3 linked regions of the Neodiprion lecontei genome follow. The protein of the gene in region 3 interacts with the protein of the main gene of each other region in a pairwise test. Links are inferred from orthologs where the notes say so. Each region holds a gene or a part of one and is shown on either strand. Other genes may lie near its edges. The genes, in order: golgin subfamily A member 1, ecotropic viral integration site 5 ortholog and ras-related protein Rab6.

What was found.
Region 1: the proteins of ras-related protein Rab6 (region 3) and golgin subfamily A member 1 interact in a two-hybrid assay, tested with the Drosophila melanogaster proteins (2 studies listed by BioGRID). The link is inferred for Neodiprion lecontei from reciprocal best matches to the Drosophila melanogaster genes Rab6 and Golgin97.
Region 2: the proteins of ras-related protein Rab6 (region 3) and ecotropic viral integration site 5 ortholog interact in a two-hybrid assay, tested with the Drosophila melanogaster proteins (2 studies listed by BioGRID). The link is inferred for Neodiprion lecontei from reciprocal best matches to the Drosophila melanogaster genes Rab6 and Evi5.

What each region holds. Positions count from the first base shown.
Region 1 is NC_060261.1:30,074,701-30,078,460, reverse strand, and holds the start of golgin subfamily A member 1, read right to left. Parts: upstream 2,430-3,760; 5' UTR 1,969-2,429; coding exon 1,858-1,968; intron 1,685-1,857; coding exon 1,291-1,684; intron 945-1,290; coding exon 856-944; intron 769-855; coding exon 640-768; intron 1-639.
Region 2 is NC_060266.1:6,842,448-6,846,207, forward strand, and holds the start of ecotropic viral integration site 5 ortholog, read right to left. Parts: upstream 2,671-3,760; 5' UTR 2,516-2,670; exon of another isoform or gene 2,496-2,515; intron 1,964-2,495; 5' UTR 1,571-1,963; coding exon 1,506-1,570; intron 1-1,505. UniProt on the Drosophila melanogaster protein: Functions as a GTPase-activating protein (GAP). During border cell migration in the ovary, acts as a GAP for Rab11 and is necessary for the maintenance of active receptor tyrosine kinases at the leading edge.
Region 3 is NC_060263.1:23,059,964-23,063,723, reverse strand, and holds the start of ras-related protein Rab6, read left to right. Parts: upstream 1-1,224; 5' UTR 1,225-1,399; coding exon 1,400-1,469; intron 1,470-3,372; coding exon 3,373-3,431; intron 3,432-3,760. Other genes in the region: protein FAM8A1, read left to right, coding at 1-100. UniProt on the Drosophila melanogaster protein: Protein transport. Regulator of membrane traffic from the Golgi apparatus towards the endoplasmic reticulum (ER). Mediates membrane trafficking during egg chamber growth and organization, possibly upstream of exocyst component Sec5.

The sequences.
Region 1 (3,760 bases), on a different chromosome or scaffold from region 3:
ATAAAATGCAAAAATTATCACAAAACAAAAAGCAAAATCATTACAGTATAGAAGAATGCCTATGAACTGGCTGACTAAAAATTATAACTATTACTATCGATAGTAATAATGTGGAAAATTCCAGCTATTTGAGGAATCAGGTTTTAATAATTGAGGTTTAAGGTGCGAAAGAACTGTAAAACATACATATTTGTCGGATTATTATTATTTAAAACCTTGCGACTCGTTGTGCTGTTAAAATATATATCAAGACCGCAAGCACAAGATGGTAAGATTTTTACCTGATAAAATATTCAACAGTGTAAATCAGAGAACAATTAGCATTGTGAATCGTCTGTGATATGTGTTAGACGATAATCTCCTTCTGTCGCAAGACATTAGGCAACACTTGTTAAATCGAATTGGCATACGGATATTAAAATTAGGTTCTTACAACTTATTCAGCTGTACAAAAGACACAGAATTTACACTGTTAATAAGACCCTGATAATTCTTTTCGAGTCATAGTAACATCGTGAACAATATCAATTTAGTGTAGTCAACTTTAATTACATTCGTTCCATCGATATTTCACATCATCGTGTTTACACGCTTTGAAAAGTTTGAAAAAGAAGTAGTTCAACATTTCTTTGTACTCACCTGTACGTTATTCAACTCGTCTTCGTAACGCCTGAGCCTCGATACCTCAGTTTTGAGACTCTCTACCTCAGCGGTTGCATGCTTCAGATGATGCACTTTTTCGTCTACCTCCTGCTCTTTAGCCAGTAGCTGTTAATCAGATGAATATGTTTTTGAGATAATTCTTTGATACTCCGAACACAGTTCCATTTAACACGATAATTAATATAAACTTACAAGATGTTTGATCTTTGCCATTTCTTGTGTTTGAAAACCTTCCAACTGTTCAGCATCTTCTTGAAAGCTGTACAGTTTTTTTTTGTACTCTGCCAAAGAAAATTACACAAGAAATTATAACTGAGCAAAATGTGAATTTTGATTACAATTCAAATTGCATATCGCATTTTTTAGAAAAAATTTCTTCTAGCACTGATATTACATCTGATTTTTTCGAAGTACTATTTGTTAGTCAATATTTCTGTACAGTGAGAATGAGAGTACTAAAAATTGACAAATTAATATATGACAAACACAAGAAAACATAATTTTTTTGCTATCAATCATTGCATGCCGGTTGCATTTGTACAGAACTATGTAATGGATTGTTCAGATTATCTCATATAAATATCAAAGTGACATTTTTCAACATATGTAACATCTTTCTCCACATACCTTCAGCATTTTTCAAAGCAAGTTCAGTCACTCGTCTGGCATCCTCGGCTTTTCTTCTTTCATCCTCAAGCTTTAATTTCTCCTTCTCCTGTTTATCCAATAATTTTTTCCACTCCTTCTCTCTCTCCTGCAGCCTGACTTTCCATTCTTCGTCTTTCTTTTCCAACTTTTTTACAAGCTCGCTTTCTCTCCTCGCCAGTCTTTTCCTCCACTCATCTTCTCTGCTCTCAATTCTTTTTATATCCTTAGATGATAATTGCATTCCATCACTTAGTTTATATTCAAAACTATTCTCTCTTTTCAGCTGTATCGGTGGCGTCGGCGAAACTGTATTCTCTTCTCTCGAACCATCCAGTGATACCATAGAGCCACTAATACTGCTCGTTGAACCGGTCTGCAAGAAATAATCAGACAGAGGGTAAGAAAGATATAAAATTACAAAATTACAAAATTAGTTGGCAACGTCATCATATGAGCAAAAAAATGTTATAAATTCACTTGTTTTCTAAAATCTGATTTGGTTTTCTTTGAGATAATAAGGTGAGAGTACGATTGCGAAACATTTACCTGAGACGTGTGCCGTGTGCCAACGTTACGAACGTTTCCAGCTTTTCTGACAACCGTGGAAACGTCGCTGCCAGTTTCCTCGCGTATTTTGTTTTTCAAGCTCACAAACATCTTCACAAACTATATTTTCTTTGATTTTCCGGATATTGCTAAGAGGGTGGTATCAAAGTTGAAGTCTACGATATATCGTAGTTTTATACAAGCTGGTTGTCAACGTCACGTCACCTGCCTGCCGGCATCTACTGATAACGAATGATAACTACCTACTATTATTATTTCTGTTTTTTATTGTAGCTGCGATTTAATCATTTCTTCTATTAAGTTCCAATTACTTCCAGCTGATAAAAATCCATTACACATATCAATTTAGAATAAAAATGTAGTCTTTGATTTTTATATTATTACTAACACTGTTGCCGAGCGACGTTTAGTGAAAATATTTTGCATGACGGAGACCACTGTACGATTTCTACCACATTAAAAAAAAGCAAATAGTAAGAAAGAAAACAATACTTCCACAATTGCAACCCGCGACATATCTCTGGTCATAATTATTCACCGACGACACCGCTGTGATGACGTAATTCACAAAGCGCTTATAATCGAGTGAACCACTTCGGTGAAATTTTCTTCATGCAATAGCGGGACTTTTGAAATTTTAGGTTCGAGCGACTACACCATGTTCATGTTGCAAAAAAAGTTAGTTACGTAAAGGATAATTAACCCACAAATTATTAAATACATGCATTTGAATGCCAAGAGGTTTGACAGGCTAAAAATAACGAGCCCGAGGAAAATTTTAATAGCAACTTCGACTGACTCCTGCATGTTGGTAACCGTGAATTTTGTCGCCATTATTAAAATGCCCTACAGAGAGAACCAATAGAAATCGCGATGCGAGCGACCTCATGTTTGCATTCCGAACCACGTATCTTTCAAATGTTTCGGTAGAATTTTCGGTTAGACGAGTGCATTGTGAGTGGGTTGTAAGGGCGTGTGAATTCTGTCAAGTTTTTATCGGTGTTTTGAATGGAATAGTAATGCCGTAAGGAGTGACGTACCTTCTCAAACATGATTCGTACATCTCCAGACGATACAGAGGCATCGATCAACTATTTTGAGACGTAAGTTTTACACCCTTTATTCTACGCTACTTGTGTGTATATTTACGTAGTCGAGCACGGGTGTACGAAGCGTCAGTCAATGCTTGGCCGACCGGTTCGTTCGTCAGTAGACTGCAATGTTCGTTTACTTGCAGCCGGCAGCTTAGCTATTTTTAACTCACCCCGTTCGTTACTTGTAAATAAAGACAGGATTCTTTTGATAAGTAACCAAAAGTCAGATCGAAACTGGTAAACCACAGCATTTTGACACAGTCTTTGTTCTAATGTTAAGCGTGTGTAATACACCGGAAAACTTGTAATAAATTATCATTATTGCTGTGGGATAAAAATACACTATCGGTTGTATGCGACGAGTCAATTAATTCCGGATCTGCCGATGCACTTAGGCTGAAGTGAAATATGACGCAGCCAATAATTGTATTATTTCGGGGTAAGGTTTTTGTTTCGTGCCACAAGTTCAGCGCCTGATTTACGCAGTCCCGTGCTACACGTGTAGTGCGAATTGCAACTCTCGTAGGCGCTGTATGCTGTATTTTTCCCTATTTACAATATATCAACAGTCTATGATGGTATTATTAAAGAGGGACGATAGAATTGTTTCAAAAATATAGGAAGACCGATTCTAACTAAGCAGTCATTCTTTTTCACCAAATTCTCTTTTTTCGAAAACTCTCTACATCCTGTATGCAAGCTCGGAAAGGTTTCGATTTTGTCGCCCCAGATTTTCGTACTTCACAACTCTTTGTACGATCAAGTGGATATACGAAACTCCTTTCACA
Region 2 (3,760 bases), on a different chromosome or scaffold from region 3:
AATCTAGTGGTCGATAAAGGAAAGGGCAATGTTACCATCTTTCCCAAAATTATCAGAGATTTCGACAATGTCGGTCACGTGTTCTTCAAATTAACTTTCAACTTCTATATTCCGACTGTTCTTCGATTGTTTCAAAACAATATTCATAAACTACGTCGTAAAATGTACAGAAGTTTCAGTATCCGTGATCTCTGCATGGTTTTTGAAACCCATGTTATAATTGGTCGAGAAATTATAGTTTCAGCTACATTTGGAAAGACGATCGCGTTTGGCTTTGGCTGACATAATTGGAACAATACTTGGGAAACAGAGAGAGAATCATGAATTGCAGAAGCACCGTCCGTGGCGAGGTATTTCCTTTTTTTCATTCTAATTACAAAACTACGATTTTACGCAATGTTACCGTAACGGTTCACTTGCAATGGTTCAAGGCTACGTCTTGTAACGAAAATTGCGGAGAAATTTTTCACCGTAAAATCGAAGAGCATTCATATTAGAGGCAAATTTAAGAGACAAATAATTTTGCTTGTGAAGCAAACAAAACAAAAGCTTCTTTCAAAACTTTCAATAATTTCTTTCAAAAGCGTTTTGAAATCTAGAAAGAAAAAAAATTTATAACAAATTAGACCACAGACTGTACATATCCAGCAGTACAAAATGTTTTACAAAATACTTTCGGGCATTGTAAATGTAAATTTAGGCTAGTAAATGTTTTAACCTTAATTAATACCTTCAGAATTCAATTTCCTCTTGAATAAAACAAAAACAAATTTTGATAGTAAAATGGAACCAAAAACGTTCCGTTCCTTCTCAAATTATATATATTTTTCTAAAAAAAAATTTTCAATAATTATAAAATTTTTCAATATGCTCGCACGTATTGATTTCCTTCAACACTAATTTCTTAAATTATATTTCTAACAGGGTGGCCACAAATTGTTGTGAAAAAATTGTATGAAATTTCCAGATTTCCCACGACCTAAAACCTAGTTTTTTCTGACATTTTTCCAGTTCTAGTAAGTCACTAAAACCAAAATCGTTCGGTTTATCAACCCTATATTCGGTTCAAAATTCAATTCGAATAGAAGAAACATATAACGTACAAAAAAGTCAGTTTAAGCCAACTTGTTTTCCTCGACGAAATAAAAGTCAACTTGTTACCTCAAAAGATCATTTCCAATTTCCGTGATAGAAAACTGATATTTTAAGTTTATTCAATCACTAAATTAAAAATCCTCTGACATTTCCAGGTTTTTTAGGTGTGTGGCCACCCTGCCTAGGCAAAATAAAAAAAAAAAAGGTGAGGTGATTATTATCAGAAGAAGTTACGACACAGCGAAGGAGAAAAATGTAAATCTATACGTATATAGTCGAGGAAATCAGTCCAATTGATTTTTACCCGTCTCGCGAAATAACGACATTCGCTGGCTGATGATGGAAGGATATCACGAAAGCATTATTACAAGGAAGGAGGATTTCAATCACTGTATATAATACGTGATTACCTCTTGGTTGCTTTTCCTCGCGTCCACCTCGCCGCCGCCGGGGCCAAAAGACCGAGTAGAACCATTCAGCCAATGCGTTCAGTTTATTTAAACTTCGGATCTTTATATCTTTAATGTATTATATATATATATATATATATATATATATATAATTTATAACCGTGTCGTAAGTATATTATTATCACATTACACGTAAACACAAATAAGGAGAAATTTCCCGATTAAGTTTCTTTTTCCTTGTATCATTCCCCGCGGATTCTGAATTTCCTTTCAACCGATGCGGATGATATTTCCGTGTCTTACGGTATTTCCGCCTCGGTAACGTTCATCTTTTCGCTCATTTGCAATCACGCAGACCACGGTATGTATATATCTATGTAGATATGTATGTATTGTATAATCACTCCAGTGCCAGAATAATGCACGATGACAAGAGAAACGTCAACACTGCCTGCGACCTGTGAGAAATAACATGATAAAGTGATTTCTGATCCCGAACTTGAACGATATTCTTCCTTTTTATGTATTGTTTCGGCACAAAAATTTTCAACTTTTGAAAGATCCTGTAGCCTGGCTAGCAACGGGTCGCTGAGCAAGTCTTCAAGTCCGCAAAACGAAAGAAAAACAGAAAAAAACGTAAATTCTAAAATACAAAAAGAATAAAAATAAATAATGTATAATTTATCTCCGACAAGTAAAATTCTTGTAATCGATGAAATATCGTTGAAAATAGAAGAAAAAAATATGTATATATATTAAGAGACGCGTGAAAAAATGCTTGGAAAATTTGAAATAAAAAATTGCAGAAGAAGAATACAATCGTGTATAATAATTCAATGAATATATTCAATGATTTAGTGAAGCGTATAATTGACTGGAGTTAAATTCCCGCCAAATTTATGAAGAAGTAAGAGAAATAAAATTAAACAAACCGACGTCAACTCAGGCAAAGAAAAGAATATATAGGTATAATACTGATTTCGATTGCACCTGACAAGGTGTGGAATTACATGATCTGAATGTCGAAGTGTACGTATGACTCTGAATTCACAGTGTGTGTGTGTGTTTTTTTCCGAGGTGTGCGGCAGACGGAGAGGTCGAGACGTGACAATGACGTCGACGAGGTCGGACACAACACTGTGCTTCGGTACCGCGTTAGGTATCCAGGCTCTCGCGAGTCTCGCAGACGGACGAGGAGCGCCGTTTGCAGCTCGACGATGGTTTCGTTTGGAGGTCGATGAAGCCGGCGCAGGGTTGACGGAACCTTCTGCGCGGCGACCTCCGCCGTCGCGTCGTCGTCGTCCAGGTCGGCAACGGCGGGAGTAACTTTTCGGAACGTTATTTTTATAACGGATGAAGTCCTAAATTTACGTTTATAGGGAACTTTTTACGGGAGCAACTTGTCAGAACGTTATTTTTATAACGGGTGAAGTCCTAAATTTACTTTTCTAGGGAATTTTCTATGGAAGCAAATTTTCGGAACGTTATTTTTATAACGGATGAAGTCCTAAATTTACGTTTCTAGGGAATTTTTTACGGGAGCAACTTGTCGGAATGTTATTTTTACAGCGGATGAAGTCCTGAATTTACGTTTCTAGGGAATTTTCTATGGGAACAACTTTTCGGAACGTTATTTTTATAACGGATGAAGTCCTAAATTTACGTTTATAGGGAATTTTTCACGGGAGCAACTTGTCAGAACGTTATTTTTATAACGGGTGAAGTCCTAAATTTACTTTTCTAGGAAATTTTCTATGGAAGCAAATTTTCGGAACGTTATTTTTATAACGGATGGAGTCCCAAATTTACGTTTCTAGGGAATTTTTTACGGCAGCAACTTGTCGGAACAATATTTTTATAACGGATGAAGTCCTAAATTTACGTTTCTAGGGATTTTTCTATGGAAGCAACTTTTCGGAACGTTATCTTTATAACGGATGAAGTCCTCAATTTATGTTTCTAGGGAATTTTCTATGGAAGCAGATTTTTGGAACGTTATTTGTATAACGGATGAAGTCCTGTATTTACGTTTCTAAGGAATTTTCTATGGGACAACTTTTCGGAACGTTATTTTTATAACGTATGAAGTCCTGTATTTACGTTTCTAGGGAATTTTCTATGGGAGCAACTTTTCGGAACGTTATTTTTATAACGAAGGAAGTCCTAAATTTACGTTCCTGGGGAATTTTCTATGGGAACAACTTTTCGGAACGTTGTTTTTATAACGAATGAAGTCCTAAATTTACGTTTCTGGG
Region 3 (3,760 bases):
GTTCAACAGAACTGGTTACGATCTTGTTTGTAACTCAATTGTGATCGAATGTCCTTATAGAGATAGAGCAAATAACAGAGCTCGGCAACAGCAACAGTAATCGATCGTGACTACTCAAAGTTTGATTAATTCTATGGCAGGATATAAATAATGGAAGCTGAAATATTCTGCTGTAGAAAACTGTTTATAATACTTAAATGCTTTGTTTAATTATTTTTTTCTCTAGTACCTTGTCAATGCGTACTATCTAGCCAAGGTTCACACCTGCATATTGCATATATGTAAATATGTAATAAAATTTATAATTAAGCTATTATATAAATTACCATACACCATGTTGTGCATAAACCTACAAAATGAATGTATTCATTTCATTGTGACCAAATGAACCATCGTTACTGATTGAGTAAAAAGTGTAATAAAAGGAATTTATTTTGCTATACTACTTTAACTCATTGCGAATATCTGTATTTTGTACTATTGACATTGAATTTTAAACTACCACATAATGTAAACATCTTACTTTTATGTATGTGATAAAATTATAAAGCGGGAAATTATATTTCTATGTACATACATATATTCGTTAGTACATATACACGTTCAGTCAACTTTGTTCATTCAAATTTGTGAATTAAAATTCATGATTTTTTCAAAGTTTCAAGTTTTTCTTTCTGTTTTGAATATTGGGAATCCCGCATAGAATAAGAAAGTGTATAGGCTAAGACTGAAGCTGTAATATATTATGTTGTAAAAATGAATAAGAATTCCTGTATAATGCATTTACAGAATTGTAATTTGAACCGCTGGATCAGATAAAAACACCCTGGATACGGTAATAATGACGGTGTTCTACATTTACCAATTTGCTTATGGGGGGGCTTACAATATTAATTGATTATGATTCGGTAACAGACAAAAATTTCTGTATCAAAACTCGCCTCATCGTTAGCGTCCTCCACTAGACGTAAGTTCACCGGACTTGAAAATGACCAATCATTTAGAAATCTTTGGTCCCACCCGCGGTTGTATGCACGTATGTACATACATGGGTTGTACGTACCACGCGATAATGCGAGCGATAGGTGATTCGGTCGGCAAGGGTAGGACTGTTACATTCTCCTTTCACATTTTGACACATGGGATCTTTATACATCGTCATCTAGCGGCGAGTAACGAAATCGTCGGACTTTGGCATGATGGAGAAACGAAGCGTTAACACAGTGGCGTGACGTCACTTCCCAGTCAAACGTGGCTGCCGTGCCGAAAGGAGTGGCTGTTGAATCTGTCAAATTATATGGTTATTTGGAAATATTAATGACTTTTCCCATCGGCTACGGCGCGATATAGTGAGATTTGATTATTGCGTGTCAAGCAAAGTGAAACGAAGCCTCAAAATATGTCGTCTTCGGGTGATTTCGGTAACCCGCTGCGAAAATTCAAGCTCGTTTTTCTTGGTGAACAGAGCGGTGAGCATTTTGACACATATTTCAATGAATTTAAATTTAGTTTCCCTTAAGTTCTCTACTTTTTTCTTATCCACCACTCCGTTGGAGACTGAACTTTCGACATCTATACTACGCATGAATTTTCAATAACGTTCTAGGTTATAAATCGATATTTTCCCCTGTCCGTCTGCCGTAGCTGACGTGAGTCTCAAATCCGATTCGGTACTTGCAATAATACTTCGCATCGCTGTTATATATCGTTATTTATCGGACAAATAAATAATACAGCTTATTGTACCGATATCACTGGATCAAATTATATCGGTGATTGCTTTTTTTTCTGTTTTGCTGTAAATGAAAATTTACATTAATACTAGCAATCGATTTTTTTTGTTTCATCTTCTTTTTTGTTACGAATAAGAATTGAATGCTTAAATATGAAATGACCTTTTATCTGGAATCTCTAGCATTTATCTATTATAAATATTGGTATAGTAAACTGGCAGCAAAAATAAACTAAGATTAACTATCAAGTATAAGCTACTCTATTTGTACGAATGACTAATTGTAAGAGAAACAAAAAAAAAAGTAGCATTTTTCATATCCTATATTAATATTATTGAACTACTTAAATCTTCTAAAGTGATTGAATACTAGTGAAAAGTTACCAGAAAATTTTGCCAAAAAATTAAGAAATTATAAGAATACTGTTTTTTATATGCATGGAAAAAATTGCTTTATTAAGACATGGTTAATAATATTTGACTTTTCATAATAATGGTCATGTGTATTAGTTCACATTAAAGTACGTATTTACATATTAATACAGTTCCTGGGAGATGAAATTTACAGATTAATGAACAGTTATTCTGAACTTGCCTGAGCCACAATAAGCATAATGTGATTCTCCATGAACAGTTACTTGCTTACTCAATGGAAAAACAAAAACACAATTCTGCCATGTAGTTACCGGCTTTTTATGCCCCGCTCAATTGAAATTCACGCCATCAACATACAATGAATTAATAGTCTAATTTATCTAGTTTTTAGTGTATGATGCATGATGAATAACTATTTTTCAATAATCCATAATTTCATCAGATTAGGGAGAAAGATGTGAGTTTACTTTGAAAAATGAAGTGAATACACATTGAACTCATGTCGATCTATTGTCTCAAAAAATGAACACATTTAAGCAAGCTAAAATCAGCCTTTCTGACATCCAGAAGTGTTATTTGACTATTAAAAATAACGATTTTTTAACACAATGACCTAGGTGTCAAAATATTCTGAGTTTATTTATACAAATTCTCAGTGTCTTTAATTATTATTGAGATTAGTAATTTCTGACGCATGGACAGGGGAAATTCCCATAAATTTTTGGCAAAAATAATTCAATTTTATTCAGAAAAAATTGCAGAGTAGAAATACTATTGCCCTGTTTTAAAAATAACTCTGTTAGACAAACGTCATCAAAATATCTTCATCAATAATGAAAAACGGTGAAATATGAAATGATATACAATCAGTGAATTTTGTATAAACGGAATAATTTGTTCACATCTTTGTAATTATCGGCAATTATTGTAGTATCAGGGGATGTACCTCAGCATGTTTGATCCTTAGATCATGACTGATCTTCCTTGTGATTTGTTAAAAGTTGATTTTTTCAGAAAAATGATCACAGCATTATGAAACAGTCTTCTCAATATTTCGATGTTAACAAATACAGTTCAACTTGTTTTTGCTATTGATCTTGAATTAATTAACTGCGAGTTATTTAACACGCCAGAAATTTTTCATTCGGCCGGGCTACGCATTAGTATTAATTACAGACTACGTCAACTATTTCTTAGTATCATATATAAAATGATCAGAATTTTATTTCGTGTTATTTTTATTGAATAATTTGATCTTTTTGCAGTTGGTAAAACCTCCCTCATCACAAGGTTTATGTATGATAGCTTTGACAACACGTATCAGGTGCGTATTAAGATGTTTATAATTATAATTATAGTTGGAGCCATCTCTGTAATTTTTCTTTTCATTTGGCCACTATACAGTCCCGCTGCGAAAATTGATTACAAATTTTATTCAGTACTCGTAACTACTTTTACTTACTTGTAAAAGTATAAGACACTATTTATATCACTAGTTTAGAATACACATAAATAATAGATGGACAGGAAGCGATTAATTTGCATAGAAGCACTAAACGAGATTCAACCGATTTGTCGAGTTCATGTTAGTGTTTTCACTTTGCGTTTTTATTGAACGAGTAGGCCATGTACAGGATGATATTACATTATTCT